Linked DNA regions of Caenorhabditis elegans. The protein of the gene in region 4 purifies or fractionates together with the protein of the main gene of each other region. This does not show direct contact. Each region holds a gene or a part of one and is shown on either strand. Other genes may lie near its edges. The genes, in order: byn-1, K12H4.7, rpl-4 and cey-4.

Region 1 (6,095 bases), 3.9 Mb from region 4:
TCGAATCTTTCGACGACATGGAGCTCAAGGAGGAGCTTCTTCGCGGAATCTACGGATTCGGTTTCGAAAAGCCATCTGCTATTCAAAAGCGCGCAATTGTTCCATGCACCACTGGAAAGGACGTCATCGCTCAAGCCCAATCTGGAACTGGAAAGACTGCAACTTTCTCGGTCTCTATTCTTCAGAGAATCGACCACGAGGATCCACACGTGCAAGCTCTCGTTATGGCCCCAACCAGAGAATTGGCTCAACAGGTAAACTTTCTCACTCAGTGTATTTTAGTTATAGATTATTAGCAGATACTTTTAAAGAAAACTTTTCAAAATCTTTCTTTGTAGATCCAAAAGGTCATGAGCGCCCTCGGAGAGTACCTCAACGTTAACATTCTTCCATGTATCGGTGGAACCAGTGTTCGCGACGATCAACGAAAACTCGAAGCCGGAATTCACGTCGTTGTCGGAACTCCAGGACGTGTTGGAGACATGATCAATAGAAATGCTCTTGACACATCCAGAATTAAGATGTTCGTTCTCGACGAGGCCGACGAAATGCTTTCTAGAGGTTTCAAGGATCAGATCTACGAGGTTTTCCGTTCCATGCCACAAGACGTTCAAGTAGTCCTTCTTTCGGCTACTATGCCATCTGAAGTTCTTGATGTCACTAATCGTTTCATGCGCAATCCAATCCGCATTCTTGTCAAGAAGGACGAGCTCACCCTTGAAGGTATCAGACAGTTCTACATCAACGTTCAAAAGGATGTAAGTTTACTCGCCCAGTCTAAGAAATTGTTTTCATGAACCATTTTTTCAGGAGTGGAAGTTTGACTGCCTCTGTGATCTCTACAACGTTGTCAATGTTACTCAAGCCGTCATCTTCTGTAACACTCGCAGGAAGGTCGACACACTCACCGAGAAAATGACTGAAAATCAGTTCACAGTCTCTTGCCTCCACGGAGACATGGATCAAGCTGAGCGTGATACAATTATGCGAGAGTTCCGTTCAGGATCTTCCCGTGTTCTCATCACCACAGACATCTTGGCTCGTGGTATTGACGTACAACAGGTAAGTATAAATATTTGTGTTTATAATTCAATACTATGGAATGTATATATTTTAGGTCTCACTTGTTATCAACTATGATCTCCCATCCAATCGTGAGAACTACATCCATCGTATCGGACGTTCTGGACGTTTCGGTCGTAAGGGAGTTGCCATCAACTTCGTCACCGAGAACGATGCTCGTCAGCTCAAGGAAATTGAAAGCTACTACACCACTCAAATCGAAGAGATGCCAGAATCAATCGCTGACCTCATCTAAATTTTAATCCAATTCCGATCCCCTCCACGATTGTTCCACACGCTTTTCCCTTCCTCTTGTTTCCTCATATTTATCCATGTTATCTGTTTTCTCCTCCACCCCCACCGTCCCACATTTTTATTTTATGCGTGATTTCATCTTTTTAATCACCCCTTTTTAGTACTGGCCCTATCCCATCCAACTTGGTTCAAACATTCTAATTCTCTTTCAATTTAGAGTTTAGTATTGCCCCCTAAAAGTTATAGAGCCACCTTGGTTTTGTTTGACAAAATGTTTTTGTCTGGCGTTCTCTTTTTCTGGAAAATAATGAAATTGCGTATGTTACATTCATTTTAAATCTTATGAACAGGCTTCTGATCCTTTCAGAATATATTGAACACCGTAATTCTGCTAATTTTTAATTATGAATTTCCAGTAACATGGTGAAAAGGAATTTGAAAGGAAGGGGTGACAAATTATCAGCCAATGCTCCACTGGATAACCAGTTGGAAGCTGGTAAAGTTGCAAAGCAACGAGATGAGCTTCGCGAAAAGCAGAAGAGAAAAAGGGAAGACTCGCAGACAGACGAGGTCAGTAAATATTCAGGGAAAATTAAATATTATTTTCATTGACCAGAGAGTTCATAAAATTAGTTTCAGTTCGTTCCTGATTCGCTCTCATCAAAAATCTTGAATGAAGCTCGTAAGCAGCTTCTCGAAGAGGCACTGGAAAGACAAGAAACCGAATCAGCCACATCTAGTGTTCCAAAAAGGTAAATAAACAATTTATCATAATTCAATGCAAGTATTTCTGTTACAGACAACGCGGAGCTTGGCTTGGAGCTGATGCATCCGGCGACAAATCGGACGATGATGATGATGATAATGAAGAAGAAGACGACAATGGATTTGAAGATCAAGTTGTTGTAAGTAAAATCTATTTAGCTTCGTGATAATAATGTTAAACTCCATTTATAGGAACTCGATCCTCGAGATGAAGCTGATTTGGCTAGATTCCTCAAAAAAGATGCTATCCAAATGTCCACACTCTACGATATTATTCAAGCCAAAATTGAAGCTAAACAGAATGATGCAGAGCTTGCACTCAGCCAAGTTGATCCGAATGAGTTTAATGTAATTTTTAAGCATCGAGCCTTGAAGCATAACAAAATGTTTACAGATGCGTGACATGGACCCAGAAGTAGTTGAGATGTATGAGCAGATTGGACAGTATATGTCAAAATATCGCAGTGGAAAAGTCCCAAAAGCATTCAAAATCATTCCAAAAATGATTAACTGGGAGCAAATTCTTTTGTTAGTTGTCTGTTAGTATCGGATTTGAATAAAATAAAACATATTCAGCCTCACAAAGCCTGAAACTTGGACGGCTGCTGCTATGTATCAAGCCACAAGATTGTTTGCGTCGAACATGAACCCAAAAATGTGTCAGAGGTATTTAAATGCCGATTTTAGATATATCAGCTCTAAAACCGTTTGATTCAGATTCTACACTCTTGTTCTTCTCCCACGTCTTCGTGACGACATTGATGAATTCAAGAAACTTAACTATCATCTGTATCAAGCCCTCTGCAAAGCTATCTACAAGCCTGCCGCTTTCTTCAAAGGATTGATTCTTCCATTATTAGAAGTGAGTTTAACTTAAATATTTTTCATGTATATTCTTTTTTTCTCAGTCTGGAACATGTACACTTCGTGAAGCTGTTATCTTCAGCTCTGTCCTCACCAAAGTCCCGATTCCAATTTTTCATTCCGCTGCTGCTATGCTTAGGGTAACTTTTGTTTTAAAATATCTCATCAAAAACCTGTTGATATTTCAGATTGCCGAAATGGAATACACTGGAGCTAATTCCGTGTTTCTTCGAGCTCTCATTGATAAGAAGTATGCTTTACCGTATCGTGCAGTCGACGGAGTCGTTAATCACTTCATTCGTCTGAAAACCGATGAACGAGATATGCCAGTTTTGTGGCATCAGTGTCTTTTGGCACTGTGCCAGCGATACAAGAACGATTTGAATGCCGAGCAGAAGGCAGCTATTTATGAGCTGATCAGAGTAAGTTTAATTTTTAAAAACTATTAAAACTTCGAGTTTTATTATCACGAGAACATCTAGTTAGGAGAGTTATTTTCATGGCTTCTTCAGTCTCGAATCCTTACCAGACAATGGACCCGAACTAGGCCCAGAGTTGCCACCTGGACCGTTCGATGCGCTTGACGGTTTCTTCTTGTTACGTCTTCCAGTCTTTTTAGCAGTTTTATCTCTCATCGGATCTGACATTGGTCCAGTAGACATCATTTTTGCACGGAGCTGTCCTGTCGACTTGTTGACCGAGGTTTTATCTTTCTTTCCTGTGATTTCGTACATCATCTGGACAACTTGGCTCATAGTGGGGCGCTGTTGAGGATCGCGAATCCAGCACTTTTTCTGGAAAATTCCACATTGCTATGAAAATAGTGGAATGAAATAGAACTTACAATAACATCGGCAAGCATAGCTGGAGCCTTTTGACTAATCGGCATACGGTAATCATCGCGTCCAACCTTCTGATGTACCTGCACCACCAACATCTCCGGATACGGCTGAGCTCCATTCTCGATCACCTCCCAGCAGAGAATCGAGAAAGCAAACACATCAGTTTGTGGAGTATAAAGGAAGGAAACGATCGTTTCTGGTGAGAGCCATCTGATTGGAACTCTTTTGCTCGGATCCATCTGATACTCCGTTCCAACTCGAGATAAACCGAAGTCAGAGACTTTAGCCTGAACGTTATTAGTTATTAACTTTTAAATTATTTATAACATACAACGCCTTTTCCATAGAGTATGTTTCTGGCCGCAATGTCCCTGTGTATAATGTTTTTGCTGTGAATGTATGCCAGACCAGCTGCCACTTGTGCGATTATATCCAGTTTCTCAGGCCATTGTACCGATGAATTCTTCTGAAGATATTTATCCAGAGCACCACCAGGAACTAACTCCATGACTACTAGCAATGGTTCATCGATTGCAGCCACGCCGTAACATTTTACAACGTTCTTGTGATCGAATCCGCGCATCAGACGTGCTTCTGTGATGATCTCCTTGATTTGTTCTTTAGTCACTTTTTCAAGTTTTGCCTGAAGTTTCGTCATTACTTTTTATATAAAAGTCTAGTCCAACTCACAACTTTTATAGCGACATCTACTGTAGTCGATCCCATTTTCAGCGTCCCAAGCTTTACTTCTCCGAAAGCACCTTCACCAAGAACTTTTGTCATTGTAATATCGGCGTGATTCAGTTCCCATGATTGTCTACCGATAGGATTCACTAGAACACTGCTTGCAACTTCCTGAACAACAATAATTAGTCTATAATGTGCATGAATCGCTCGTACCTCACTAATTTTAGCCTGTTTGTGATGATTTACTAACTCAGTCAATGTTCCAAATTTAATTTTATCAGTGATTGAATATGCTCCGTCGCTTGTACGAATCACATAATGAGCAACTTCTTGACTTGTCTCGTTCTGCATCACCGAAATGATCAAATGACGTGCTTGTCCTTGAGGCTCTGACGTTCTCATCAGATAATCGCCATTTTTTTGAAGTAAAAGCTGAAAAAGTCGGTGCTCCTTTTAAATAAATATTACTCTCAAATTACCTTTACTTCTTCTCGTGGAAGAAGTCCGTGAAAGAATGGTTGCTCATTGATCTCCATTGCGCCAATTATGTGAAAAGAGTGTAGAATTAATTTCTACGATTATCGAAATGATTAAAATTTCACTTCTGATCGATCTTATGCGTGTTTTCTTCTTTTTTTTAATTTTTTTCCTGGCGTATGGGTTCACATCATTGGTCACGTAAATTTTTTTTTCATAATTATAAAGTTTAAGTCAGGTAATTTCCGAAGTTTTATGGTCCCATGAGTTCAATGTTTCCATTGTTTTTAACCAATTTCAATTTATAGTTCCATGGACACTATCTCATCTCGCCTGAAATTCGCCGTGAGCTCGAATCCAAGGAAACCGAAGACGGACATGTTATCACTTCAGTTGTGGTCGAAGGCCGAAAGACGGATAGTATGGAATTCTAAATCACACACAAACAGAAAGAGACGCAGAAGAGAAATATTTCCCGCTTTCACTCTATTCTGCACGTAGGCTTTGCTCTTTTCTTCTATTTCCATTATTGTTCGTTTCCCCGCGCCCCTCCCCAAAAATTGTTCATTTCTTTGTTTTTTATTCATCATTGTTGGTTATGTTACTCTCTTCCTCATTCAAATGAAATTGTTGTTGATTTTCTAAATACAAAGTATTAGTTTCAAAGAGCAAAGGTTTTCGTCCCTAACTTAATGCTTGTTTTTTCAAATTCATGTTATCATGTCTTTGACGAGAGAAAGTTTTCAGATTCGTCAAAAAAAAATGATAACCAGGTCAATAGGTATCGCTAGAAGATCCAATTCGATTAATTGCATTGTTGGATCAAATACAAGCACTTCATATAGTTTAGATGAATCAACAAAAAGATGGATTTCCACTAGGTTCAGAATTCGAAAATTTTAATTTTAATTGTTATAATTTTAGTACAAAACAACCAATGTCACTGATACCAACTGCAAGTAGCCTTGTTGCTTCTTCTCCGCCAAATTTGAAGCCATATCTTCAACTGATGAGAGTCGACAAGCCTATCGGTAATTTATTATTACACAGACGCGAAGTTTTGGGAGTTTTGCGCCGAAAATACGATACCTAGTCTCGACGCGATTAATTTTGTAAAATACAAACAAATGTGCGCCTTTAAGA
Region 2 (5,166 bases), 2.8 Mb from region 4:
CTTTGGCCACACATATTTCTGAAAATTTGTGAAATTGAGAAGTTGAAAAATCAAATCTCCATAAAAACCCCTTCGGTAAGTGTTCATAAAACAATTATTTTGTCAAAAATTTTCCAGCAACTTATACAATAGTAGATAATTATGAAAATTGAGAAATCACGTGATATCCAACTCTCTTAGTCTCAATGCAGCAACAAATAAAAATTCTCATCAACCACCGTAACCAACTATTTTTATTATCTCAAATCCCAAGTTCCCATACCATTAAAACTCGAGACTGTGCACATAATTGGATTGGATACTTGTGAAAAACTGAGTTGTATCTTACACATTCCACTCTTTCTGTTTTGGACAAAAAAATAGTGGGAAATTTATGTTTGAATAGAATTCGATAAATACATGTGTGTGGATTTTTTCGAAATTGGAAAATATTTAGTTTGATATTTTGTAATCATTTTCACAATTTTTTAACACGTTAAAAAACAAAAAAAAAGAATATTAAAAACCAAAACCAAATGAAGAAAAATCTGTACGAATAGAAAAGTTGCATAACACCCAAGAATAATAATAATTGGCTAAAGATGGAGAATTTAATAGTTGCGTGACGGCGGAACAAAACTAGATGACCATTTAGACGGTTACTCAATATATTTAATTGCACTTTTTATGAAGATGCTATGGTTTTTCAATGTTTTTTCTCTTTTTGAACTGTCTCGTATTGCAAGTTATGGCTAACGGAATCGAAAGTTTGAAAGAAAAAGGAAAATGGAAGATTCTTGATGTTTGCTAATATATCGTATTCTCTAAGGATTCCAACAAGAAATGCATCACGTTCACAGTTTGGAAATACAAGTTCTACCGTATTCTACCATAATTTCATTTCTCAAGCATTTTTTTTCCAAATTTCAATGTATAAAAAAGACACAACGCAAGACTTGCATCAACACCCAGGTGGTCTCTAACTGCCCTTTTTTTCACTTTTTTACCTCGAGAATTTTGGGAAAAAAAGTTGAAGGAGTGTCAAGACACATCTTTGGTTATGTAACTATTGCGTAATCGAGACTTTAGGCAGCATTCACGTAATTTGGAAATTTAGAATTAAATTCAATATGTAGAAATAAACGTTTGAAAGCTAGCAAATTATAGAGGGAAATAATATTTTTAGAGTTTAGATTTCTGTGAGAATTCTTGACAAATTTTTAGCACCTACGATCGTGATGAGAAATCAAATCAATAAAAATTGGAACTTGCGAGAACATAGCGAGACCTTAATTCACCAATTTTGAACAAATGTCTCGATTTAAAACTTGAAAAACGGAGTATTGAATAGATGAGCACCTACCTCTCATCTCCTCAACCGGGAGGCGTGATGTGGCTAGTGTTTGCGAACAACGGAAAAGAAATAAGATTGAAGAAGGTAGAATAGAAGAAGAAGTCAAGTGAGAGCAGGTAAAACAGTTCAGTGCACATATTTATGGAAAATGATGGAATGGAGAAACGGAATTTTAAAAAAATTTGAAATGATGACTGGCTTGTTGCAAGTGTTTTTCGAAGAATACCGTATTTCCTCTATTAGTAATTTATTTATTCAACCAACTTTTCCTTTTATTTTCTTCCATATCCTGACAGAAAATGCTTAGGTATGATGTTATGAATATGGAAATTTTATTTTTGAAAAGATTATATTCAATTTGATAGTTCCAGTAAACAATTAAACGTTTCGAATTCCAACTTTTTATTGATCTTTGCAGTTTCTCTGAAATTGGCTTTGTTATTTTATTTTTCAAACTTTGGCCCAGTATTCCTGTAAACTAAGAACCCAGTTTGCAAGTACGTCAGTCTAAAAGATGATTTAGTATTTCGAATGTAGTTGTGCCACGAATCAGTAAAATCATCATTTAAATGTGATAGCGAAAACGGAATTGAACTCGCAAATCAGCGATAAATTATTTGATAAGGAAAAGTGTATAAGTGGGTGCTTATCAACTGAAAACTCTTGCTTTATTTCACTTTTTCTTTTTATTCTAGAAAGTGGAAACATGAAGACTCTTTTGGCAGTGCTACTGGCAGGTAAATTTAATTTTAAACATCGTTTTAGAATTTCTGTAGCTACTTTCTCTTTGAGGAGCTTAAAAGTGAAGTTGCCCAGATTCAATGCCAGTTCCGTAAATTTCATGAGTCGTTTTTTTCTAAAATTCGTGACCATTAGGCTATATGGCCAGAACATATTTTTATTACTCAAAATCTAAAAAAACAAATTATGAAGTCTCACATATTTTTCTGGAAATAAGGAATCTGGAAACTGTTTTCGACGGGAATATACTCTATCTAGACCTAGATCTAGTCTAGCCAATGTTCTCAAATGTTGTATTGTTGAATCTTTCAAAAGAATTTTCTACTAATCTTTACAACGAAATACACAAAATTTATAATTCGTGGATTCATTTTTATCGAGACGAGCAACTGTCTAAAAACTAAGGTTTCAAAACTGATAACATTATTTACCATCGAATTAATAAATTTTAAGTTCAGTTCTATGTTTACCATAGTTTCTGTAGTTTCACACTGAATAACTTAACATTTCAGCATGTGTGCTGACCCAGGTATTGTCTGCTCCAAGCAATGAGCAGCGTGTTCGTCGTAACATGATCCGTGGACGTCCACGTGGAGGAATGAAGAAGACTCCACCAGTAAGTGTTCAAACATCCAATGTACAGAACAAAAAAAGTCTATTCCAGATGTCTTCCGTTTCTCATATGATCAACTTTGACAATGTAGTCTCATCTACTTTCACTCAAACTCTTGATCATTTTGATTCTTCCGTCGGAAAGACTTTCCAGCAGAGATATTATCATAACAACCAATGGTACAAGGCTGGAGGACCAGCTTTCTTGATGCTTGGAGGAGAAGGACCAGAGTCTAGTTATTGGGTTTCTTATCGTTAGTTTACTTTTTTATCATACAAGACATTTTATTTTTAAAGCTGGACTTGAAATCACCAACTTGGCTGCCAAACAAGGAGCCTGGGTCTTTGATATTGAGCACAGATTCTATGGAGAGACTCACCCAACCAGGTATTTCTTTTTACGAAATAACTCCCTATTATTAATGTTTTCCAGCGACATGTCCGTACCAAACCTGAAATACTTGTCTTCTGCCCAAGCTATTGAGGATGCCGCCGCTTTCATTAAGGCAATGACCGCCAAGTTCCCACAATTGGCCAATGCCAAGTGGGTCACTTTCGGAGGATCCTACTCTGGAGCTTTGGCCGCATGGACTCGTGCAAAGCATCCAGAATTGGTGTATGCTGCTGTTGGATCCAGTGGTCCAGTTCAAGCCGAGGTTGACTTCAAAGGTTAAAAAGATACGCAGCAATTTACTTCCAATTACTTTCTATTTCAGAGTATCTTGAGGTTGTACAAAACTCAATTACCCGTAACTCAACTGAGTGTGCCGCCAGTGTGACCCAAGGATTCAACTTGGTTGCTTCTCTTCTTCAAACTTCCGATGGACGCAAACAATTGAAAACTGCTTTCCAGTGAGTTTATTATGATGTATGCTTACTAGTTAGCCAAAGCCAAAAACCTCGAGTGAACCTTCTGTATTCCCCCCATTCCTGCGCGTTTCAAACTGAATTAACCGCTCTAACTTTTTTGAAACTTTTCTCTGGAAGTTCCAGTCTCTACATAGTTCCTTTGTCAGCTATTCTAGTCACAAATGTTTTGAGAAGTGCGTATAACTTGGCGTGTTCATTCAATGCGTCAAATTGAAATATATATTGTAAAATAAGCAACAATTTTTCAGTCTCTGCCAAGACATTCAAATGGACGATAAATCACTCAAGTATTTCTGGGAAACAGTATATTCTCCATACATGGAGGTTGTTCAATATTCTGGTGATGCCGCTGGATCGTTTGCCACTCAACTCACAATTTCTCATGCCATTTGCCGTTATCACATTAACACTAAATCAACACCACTTCAGAAATTGAAACAAGTCAATGACTATTTTAACCAAGTCAGTGGATATTTCGGATGCAATGATATTGATTACAATGGTTTCATTTCTTTCATGAAAGATGAAACATTCGGAGAGGCTCAATCTGACAGAGCATGGGTTTGGCAGACTTGCACTGAGTTCGGATATTATCAATCAACTTCATCAGCTACTGCTGGACCATGGTTCGGAGGTGTAAGCAATCTTCCAGCTCAATATTATATTGATGAATGTACTGCTATCTATGGAGCTGCATACAATAGTCAAGAAGTTCAGACATCTGTAGATTACACTAATCAATATTATGGAGGAAGAGATAATTTGAACACTGACAGAATTCTTCTACCAAATGGAGATATTGATCCATGGCATGCACTTGGAAAATTGACAAGCTCGAACAGCAATATTGTGCCAGTTGTGATCAATGGTAATCTTGAACTTTATGTACAAAAATAGTATAATTACATTAATTCCAGGAACCGCCCATTGTGCTGACATGTACGGAGCATCCAGCTTGGATAGTATGTACTTGACAAACGCCCGCCAAAGAATCTCGGATGTTCTTGATGGATGGCTTCATGCTAATTAATTGTTATGGATTTTATGTTATAGAAATGAAAATTTGACTCTAATATTTCATATCAACGATATTACAAAAATAATAACAATAATCTAAATGTTATAAATAACAAAAGGAAAACATTATCGTCTCGGTGGCAGCAAAATCTTCTGTTTCTCCTCATCAATCTCGTCTAAGATCCGATCATCGCCAGCCCAAATTGCTTCCAAATCGTACTTCTCACGGCATTCTTCACTCATTACGTGCACCTGAAGTATAGGCATTAAAAAATATAATATGTAGGAAGTAATACCTGAACTCTTTCCACCTCACTGACATACCATCCATTGCTTCGTTTTGTGCTCCTTCGTGCATGTGACATGGATCCATTCGACACTCCGTCAATTTTTAGAAGAGATCGAAGATTTTCAGAAATTGCTGAAGCTTGTCGCGAATTGAATGCTGAGCAAATTATCTGAAAATATGAGATTAATTTTCTCCTTACTGAATTACGAGGATTAATTACCTTATGTGTATACGGTGTCATTTCTGTTTCTTCTGATTTTACAACAAATACATCTTTTGCTCTTTGATCAGTCAAAGCTCCGAC
Region 3 (3,842 bases), on a different chromosome or scaffold from region 4:
TTAATCGGTCCTCACAGCACATTTAAAATGTGATTCTACAGGTTCGAAGATACGGCACAACCCAAAGTCAATCTTCACCAGTTACACCATGTTCATATACAATTTACCAAGTTCAAACCGATGATACACTTGAAAGAATAGCATTAAAGCATAATTGTTCGGTTGGTTCCATTTGTTTCTCCTTATCTGTTGTTCATGTACGATTTCAGGTTTCATCTCTCGTTCGTGCAAACAAGCTTTGGTCTCCCAGCGCCTTGTTCATGAAGCAATTCATTAGAATACCCATTTTCAATTCACAACAACCTAATCTCAAACCATCTTTGCAAGAAACTCAATGCAAAATTGTGCCTGCCACTACTGAACGGGTCGACAGTAGCCGAGAAGAAAAATCTATGAAAGATATTTTACAGCGCATAGATCGGAACATCAAATCGTTTCGGAAATGTGATAACCCTAGCAGCTCAGCTTATGATCATATTTAAATTATTTTTGAAATAAATCTGTTGTCAAAGTAAATCGTTCTGGAAATTTAAACAATGCGTTCAACAAATTAAATCGGTTATTAACAAAAAAGTTTATCAACAACAGAATACTTATTTCTTCACGTTGGCCTTTGAAGCCTTGCGGAGGATAGAAGCATATGGGTTCAACTTGTACAAGAGGGTTCTCTTCTTGAGTGGGTTGCGGTGGACCTTTGGAAGCACTGGGTTCTTCTTTGGAGCTCTGATAGCCTTAACGACCTCTTCGGAACGGATGATGCGGGAGAAGTCGGAGTTGGCCATGATTGGGAGTGGGACAGACCATCCCTTCTTGAGTTGAGAAGAGTTGGCAACGGTGGTTCCGTAGATGGTATCAAGCTTCTTGAAGGCAGACTCGGTCCAGATGATAAGACGTCCGAGATGTCCTCCTGGGGCGAGCTTGAGAAGGTTGAGTCTCTCAACATTCATGACATCGACTCCTGGGATGTTGCGGAAGGCACGAGCGCACTCAGCATCTTGTCCGTAGATAACAACTGGTCCGAGCTTCTGCTTGTGTTGACGGTTGCGGAGCTTTCCCTTTCCGGCGCGGTTTCTCTTCGAGTTGTAAACCTTAAAACTGTTACGTTAAAAACAAATTTAATTTTTTTAAATGGTATACCTTCTCGATATCAGCCCACAAGTGGGAGCGACGGAGGAAGACGACGGCCTCCTTGGTCTTGCGGAAGCTTTCGACCTTGTCGGAAACAACAAGTGGGACCTCAGCGACCTAAAAAATAGTACTGTAAATAGGAACAAAACTTTTAAAAAAGTTTACTTACTTGATCGATGACGTGTCCACGAGCTTGGAGAAGAGCTGGGATTCCGGAGGCAGCAATAGCTGAGGAAACAGCGTATCTCTTCTGGGCAATGTTGACGTTGCGGTGCCAGCGGCGGAACACCTTGAGTGGGGCGAACATGTGTCCTCCACGGCACATATTTCCGAAAGCTCCCTGTCCGGAACGGTGGGTACCTCCTCCGCGAACACGTGGAATACGGGCAACGGCACGTCCAGTTCCCCAGGACTCAGCAGAGTGTTGCTTTCCTGAAATAAATAGTAATTGAGGAACACAGAAGTTAGTTTGAAATTAAAATAATCAATAACCGAATCTAATTATGTCACTTACCGGCCTTGGTGTTAACGGCATGGGCCTGTCTTCTGTTTCTGCGGACCTGATCGGCGATGAAGCTCACCAAGTCTGGGCGGATTGGAGTACGGAAAACGGCTGGGAGCCGGATTTGAGATTGAGTGGCCTCGTACTTTTCATCGTACACAGTCACGAGCGGTCTGGCCGCCATTATTACCTGCAATCAACAGAAATAGTAAAAAATAGATTAATTTTAAAAGAAAATGATTCAAAAAATGCGAGAAGAGTAAAGAAAAAATGATGATATTTTAGGCAATATTCAGATTTTTCGACCGAAACAGGCTTAGGATATTCAAAACCTTATTTTAATACATTCCAAATGTGAAAATATCACCGAAAATCTTTTTTATATTGAAAAAACGAAAAAAGTTCCTAAAAAATTTCAGAAAACAGGGAAATCGTGTTTAAAGGGAGGCAAAAATTAGGGTATTGGCTGAGTATCCAACGTCGGGGTCTCGCCGCGATGAGACGAAATGTCGGCAGGCAACTTGTGTCAATTTACGAGGGCGCGGTATCCGCTGATTTCAAACCCGATCCTTCCATTTTCTTGCTTAAAAACGTTTTCAAATAGTTTAATTGTGTTTTTACTTGTTTCAATACATAAGTGTTTGGGATAGATGCTGTCTTCTACATCAACATTCTTTCCTCTCGTGAAAATCGACTACAAGCGAATGGAATTATTGCGGAAAGCGGCACAGATGAAAAATTTCCGTGTAAATGAGGATACGCTGAGAAAATTGAACGACGTTGAAACAGTTGGTATGTGTTTTACAATAATATGTTTTGTTAAATAATTGAGTTTTCAGGTGAGATAATTTCCACAACACCGTCGACATCGTCAGTTGAATCATCAGGATTTCGAAGAAATGCGAAAAGAAAAATGGACGATGATTCGAACACCAGTATGTTTTCAGAAGAACAATGCTCTCATTGTGGATGCCGAATGCTTCGAGTTGTTGATCCAGGACGTCCCGATCGTATGATGGTTCTGGAGTGTATGCGCTCAAATTGTCTGGCATCTGTGAAACTTACTGATCTTCCAGTTGGGACGGTCATTGGAAAGGAAATTAGTTTGGTAAGTTGATAATTTATTTTGAAATTAAAAACAATCATTTTATTTTCAGACTCCGAAATCCGCCTACAACACTCTAGCTCGCTACTATCCCAAAAACCGTTACACTCCGGAATTGGATTCATTCGATCAGGAACAACATGGAAAGCGTAAAGCGAATGTCAAGATTTTTGAGTCATCTGCAAGAGGAATATTCATTGATGTTCCAGGACAAGACACCAAAGCTCGCTTTGTGGCATAATTTTAATATTAATCGTTAAATTACTAGTAATATGCCGGGTTGATCACAAAACCAAAAAGCCAACGCTGTATTAATTTTCACTTCCGATTTACTGAACGATCTGAATTGTCTGATAAATATCAAGTTTATAAAAGTAACATAAAACGATATTTCTTCAAACATTTATTTTTCCCGAATTTAATACAGTGCAAAAAAAATTAAATATGACTAGTTGATCAGAGGGGAGTGTGTCACAACCTTCGAATGCCTATAAAGCGACCAGTAGAACAAGAGAAAATAGAGATTCTGAGAGAGTTTAAACAATGTTTCTAAGAGAGATGCTACTCGTCCGATAGACTATCCATAAGATGTTCATTGTCCGGCGATAATGATTCCACTTTTCGTACTCGTTTTGAAAGCCCTTTTCGTATTGAAGTTGACGGATTTTGTGCATATGCAGCGCCAACGAATGCCACGAGGATCGGAATCGATGCAATAACTTGTGCCAGTGTTGGAGCTTTGCTTCGAATCACTGTATCGGCGAGGAATGACAGAGGAATGCTTACAGTCATTGATAGGCAGGTGGTGAGAGAATCACACATTCCAGCGGCAAGAAGCCAAAGGTAATCAGCGACAATTGTTCCTGAAATTAAAAAAAAAATTAATATTAAAAATACTCATTAATACAATAAATCTCACCAATGAGCGCAGAAAATAAAATTGACGAGAACTGTGTAGCATTTGGAAGTGGATGTAATGGTTCTACACCAAATCTATCCAACAAATTTAATGTAGGTGTTCCAAGAACCAAAGCGATGACTCCGATTGCTCCAAACATCAAATTAATATCCAGTTTTCCATATTTTTCCTCAAAATGGCCAAATGCA
Region 4 (3,840 bases):
AATTTGAAATTTCGAGAATTAATATTCCAGAGACATCGATCTGGCGGATCTGAAGCGCAATGTGCAATATTTCGGAGGATTCCATGGAAACCATCGGCTTATTAAATGGCTTTGGGATATTCTTGAGAACAAGTTCACTTCAGAAGAGAGGAAACTGTTCCTAAAGTTTGTCACTTCTTGCTCGAGACCTCCTGTTCTTGGATTTTCGTATCTCGAGCCGCCCTTCTCCATTCGATGCGTTGAAGTTTCCGACGATCAGGATCAGGGAGACACCTTGGGAAGTGTGGTTCGTGGATTCTTGGCTTTGAGAAAGGGAACTGCAGCTACTCGACTTCCAACTGCGTCCACCTGCTTTAACTTGCTAAAGCTTCCGAATTACAATAAGAAGTCACTGCTGCTCGAGAAACTTCGTTACGCGATCCACGCTGGGACTGGATTCGAGCTTTCCTAAATTCCTAATTATTTATTACATATTTTTATTGCTTACTGGTAGTTTGAATTTGATTTCTATAAAACAATGAACAGAATCATTTGCATTGAAACTTTTACTTAATATAAACTCAAAAAGTTCTCGAAATTGAATTCCAAAGAACTGAGTGGATATAAATCGTGCAGAACAAATTTTGGAAATTTTGGGCTTTTCGAAAGGATCAGCTATACAATTCAAGAAATGGGACTGTTCTCAATACAAAAGGTGTTTAATTAGATAACAAAAGTTGATGGTAGGTGTCAACAGCTAGAAGCCTAAGCTTTAGCTGGAGCAGCGGTCTCTTCCTTCTGCTCAGTGGTGGTGGTGGGCTCTTTATTTCCCTTGCGCTGACGTTTCTTCTTCTTCTCGGCGGCTGGAGCAGCATCGGTAGTGGCAGCGGCAGCATCACCGTCTCCCTTCTCGCCGGATGGAGCATCTGGCTGGAGCTTTCCGTGGCGGCGAGTGCGACGCTTTCCGCGAGTTTCTCCGTCTCCGCTGAAAAATTGTAATTTTAGAGTTAAAATTCCAGTTTTAAATGGAACGTATAGACCAGGGGTGTGCGGCAAATTTGCCGAATTTGCCGAGCTCGGCAAATTTTGAGATTTGCCGCACACCCCTGGTATAGACCCAAAATGTGCAAATTGCATAATAAAACTTCTTTAAAATTTGAAAAAATGGGCTAACGTCCAATTTGGCCACTTTCTGTCCAAAAATGATTTTTTTTTTCGGAATTATCTACCTTTATTGCATATTTTGCTCGTTTATCTCACATTATTTCGTTGATTAAAGTAGTTTTTACACCAATAGGTAACCAAAAATGCCAAAAATCAACGAACTAATATGAGATAAACGACTAAAATATGCAATAAAAGCAGATGATACCGAAAATATCAACTTTCGGCGGCCACTTTGAGATTTTACTTAATTTCAGCCCATTTTTCATTTTTTTTTTTAAATAAATCGGTTTATTTGAGCGCATTTTGAGCCTAAAAACACCAGAACCGTTACTAAAAGCTAGACTAACCTATTCTCAATGGTGTCCGACTTCTCCTTCTCATCTTTCTCATCTCCGTCCTGGTCACGTGTCTGACGTGGAGCACCACGTCCTCGTCCACCGCGTCCTCGTGCACCACCACGTCCTCTTGTTCTCCAATGGGTGAGCAAAGTACGAGCGAATCTCGATCCACGAACATTCTCCCCATCTGGTCCAGTCACGTTGGCGGCTTCTGGTCCTTTGAGTCCTTCGACAATGTCAAAGACGACTGGCTCATCGTCATCGAGAGTTCTGAGATAGAACTTAATGGTGCTTGACTTGGTGATGGCGGTCTGATGGACGAAGAAGTCCTCATTCTCGTCGGTTGGCTTATCACGAGCAACGAATCCGTAGCGTCCACGAACGGAGAACCATTTGACGTGTCCTTTGACACCGGTCTCGATGACCTTCTTCGATGCAAGATCCTCCTCGAGCTTCTTCATCTGATCCTCATATGGTGGTCTTGGTTGGTAGAAGTGTCCTCCGCGACCACGACCACGTCCTCGTCCGCGGAATCCGCCACGACGTGCTGGCTGCTTTGCATCGTTCGCCTCGTTGGTAGTGTCGACGGCCAGGTTGTCCAATTTCTCGGTCACCTCGGCAACTGCAATTTGAGGGATTAAATATTGAAGACCACCTGTCCTACTCACCTTTGTCCTTCTTCTCCTCAATAGTTGTTCCGTTAGCTTGTTCAGTCGACATGATGTTTCACGGCGTTGGCCTTAGTTTTTGATGGTGTCAAGGGGGTGAGGAAAATCCTCTGAGCTGATTGTACTCAACTACACTCTGCAAAAAAAAAAAATTAAATATAAACATCGAATGCAAATGTGCCACACAAAGGGTGTGGTGGAAAATGACACGACAGAACGATCGATAAGTCAAATTGACATGGGGCGGAAATGTTATCATCCGATTAAAAAGTGCTAAGCGCCGTTGTTTTTTTTTCAAATTTATTGGAAATCGGAACGAACTTAATGGAAAAAATCGGGGAAATATTGCAAAAAAGCTCTTACAATTTCGAAATATATCGAGAATTTTAGGATATTTCCTCATATTATCACAATTTTTCTGTTTAATATTCAATTTAACGCCAAAAAACCGAAGAAACGACGGCAATTTTCAATTTTTCACCAAAAAATAAGAAAGAACTAATAAAAATCGACTGCCAAGAAGGGAGAAAACGTCTTATTTGAAAAATGGTGCTGTGCTCGCAATAGAGAAACGCGCGCGCATTGCAAGGAAACGCAACACCCTGGCACACTTTTTCTCGGATTTACTCTTTCTTATCCGCTTTTAGCTTCCTCTTTGGGAAAAATCGATTGGAATAATTAGATTTTCGAGTGGTTTTTCACAGGATTTACAGAAAAATCGATACTGCTACTTGAAATTTAAATTAATTTTGCTTGCTTCCGCTGGTTTTTTAAATTAAAATACTAACAAATTAACAATTTCAGAGGTGAAAGCTTGGCGAGAAATGGACCGATTTAAGGAACAACTAGCAAAAACTGTTAATCAAATAGGCGAACAATTTTCTTCGGATAGCGATGTAAAAGTGGGAATTTTTTCAAGGAAAATGTCAAATATTAAATCGACTTTTCAGGTTTTATTAGATAATATGAACGAGAAAGTTATGAGCTCTTACGATGCTCCGTCGTGCTCGGAAAGCCCTCCAATAGCTCCAGAGAGTAATTCACAAAACTCAACGCCTCGGAGAGTAAAATCAAAAATTTCCGAGGAAGATGACGTCATCAACTCGATAGACGCCGCGTATTTTATAGATAACGATGAGTTCGATGCGATTGACTATGAATTGAAGGTTTAGTGGAACAAAAAACCAAGTAAAACGAAAATTTTAACTTTTAGAAGCTCTGTGACATCGAAATGTGCTACGAGGACATCCAGCGCGAGAGGTTTCGGCTAAAATCTCAGCATACTGTGGTTTCCAAGAAAATATCCACACTAATCATGCAAAAATCTTCATCCTACACGGCACAGGTCGGTGAAATGGAGAAAATCCGAGACGAAGTCGGAAGTGTTATCAACGAAATTCTGACGATACGAAAAGCGCTCGCGCTGGCGACAAGCCAAACTCGGACGTGTCTCGGATTAATCGCTTATAAAAATAAGAAAATCGTTCTAAATCAGCTGAAAATGACGCTCACAACGATAAAAGGCTTCCACGAGACCGAACAGCACATTCGAGAAACTATTGAAGAAGGAAATTTCCCGCTTGCAATTCAAATGCTAATCGAAACTCAAATAAAAGCCGGGGGATACGCTCATTTTACATGTGTAAAGTAAGTATTAAATGGATTTTTGAATGAAAATGAGAAAAAAA

What was found.
Region 1: the proteins of cey-4 (region 4) and byn-1 purify together in Caenorhabditis elegans (affinity purification with mass spectrometry, with the first as the bait; one large-scale study listed by BioGRID). This does not show direct contact.
Region 2: the proteins of cey-4 (region 4) and K12H4.7 purify together in Caenorhabditis elegans (affinity purification with mass spectrometry, with the first as the bait; one large-scale study listed by BioGRID). This does not show direct contact.
Region 3: the proteins of cey-4 (region 4) and rpl-4 purify together in Caenorhabditis elegans (affinity purification with mass spectrometry, with the first as the bait; one large-scale study listed by BioGRID). This does not show direct contact.

The regions. Positions count from the first base shown.
Region 1 is NC_003281.10:6,930,268-6,936,362, forward strand, and holds byn-1 (Cell adhesion protein byn-1), read left to right. Parts: upstream 1-1,733; 5' UTR 1,734-1,737; coding exon 1,738-1,887; intron 1,888-1,956; coding exon 1,957-2,069; intron 2,070-2,116; coding exon 2,117-2,222; intron 2,223-2,274; coding exon 2,275-2,430; intron 2,431-2,476; coding exon 2,477-2,610; intron 2,611-2,658; coding exon 2,659-2,748; intron 2,749-2,799; coding exon 2,800-2,944; intron 2,945-2,990; coding exon 2,991-3,086; intron 3,087-3,134; coding exon 3,135-3,368; intron 3,369-3,393; exon of another isoform or gene 3,394-3,443; coding exon of another isoform or gene 3,444-3,740; intron 3,741-3,790; coding exon of another isoform or gene 3,791-4,075; intron 4,076-4,119; coding exon of another isoform or gene 4,120-4,431; intron 4,432-4,478; coding exon of another isoform or gene 4,479-4,643; intron 4,644-4,688; coding exon of another isoform or gene 4,689-4,907; intron 4,908-4,954; coding exon of another isoform or gene 4,955-5,011; exon of another isoform or gene 5,012-5,052; intron 5,053-5,260; coding exon 5,261-5,386; 3' UTR 5,387-5,595; downstream 5,596-6,095. Other genes in the region: inf-1 (Eukaryotic initiation factor 4A), read left to right, coding at 1-254, 339-758, 811-1,062, 1,118-1,318; F57B9.8 (Tyrosine-protein kinase), read right to left, coding at 3,444-3,740, 3,791-4,075, 4,120-4,431, 4,479-4,643, 4,689-4,907, 4,955-5,011; coq-2 (4-hydroxybenzoate polyprenyltransferase, mitochondrial), read left to right, coding at 5,715-5,833, 5,877-5,983.
Region 2 is NC_003281.10:8,047,914-8,053,079, reverse strand, and holds K12H4.7 (Putative serine protease K12H4.7), read left to right. Parts: upstream 1-1,998; 5' UTR 1,999-2,039; coding exon 2,040-2,070; intron 2,071-2,586; coding exon 2,587-2,690; intron 2,691-2,738; coding exon 2,739-2,940; intron 2,941-2,983; coding exon 2,984-3,074; intron 3,075-3,119; coding exon 3,120-3,355; intron 3,356-3,402; coding exon 3,403-3,538; intron 3,539-3,804; coding exon 3,805-4,424; intron 4,425-4,473; coding exon 4,474-4,586; 3' UTR 4,587-4,630; downstream 4,631-5,166. Other genes in the region: mals-1 (Mitochondrial Assembly of ribosomal Large Subunit), read right to left, coding at 4,700-4,825, 4,870-5,031, 5,083-5,166.
Region 3 is NC_003279.8:4,645,144-4,648,985, forward strand, and holds rpl-4 (Large ribosomal subunit protein uL4), read right to left. Parts: upstream 1,821-3,842; 5' UTR 1,815-1,820; coding exon 1,643-1,814; intron 1,637-1,642; exon of another isoform or gene 1,583-1,636; intron 1,561-1,582; coding exon 1,298-1,560; intron 1,246-1,297; coding exon 1,138-1,245; intron 1,089-1,137; coding exon 594-1,088; 3' UTR 519-593; downstream 1-518. Other genes in the region: lmd-2 (LysM domain-containing protein), read left to right, coding at 42-161, 210-482; B0041.8 (Plus3 domain-containing protein), read left to right, coding at 2,281-2,422, 2,470-2,738, 2,788-2,976; B0041.5 (Solute carrier family 35 member F5), read right to left, coding at 3,297-3,598, 3,655-3,842.
Region 4 is NC_003281.10:10,866,416-10,870,255, forward strand, and holds cey-4 (CSD domain-containing protein), read right to left. Parts: upstream 2,289-3,840; 5' UTR 2,205-2,288; coding exon 2,153-2,204; intron 2,107-2,152; coding exon 1,494-2,106; intron 965-1,493; coding exon 745-964; 3' UTR 531-744; downstream 1-530. Other genes in the region: oxi-1 (Ubiquitin-protein ligase E3B), read left to right, coding at 31-451; vps-50 (Vps54_N domain-containing protein), read left to right, coding at 2,977-3,054, 3,103-3,318, 3,366-3,799.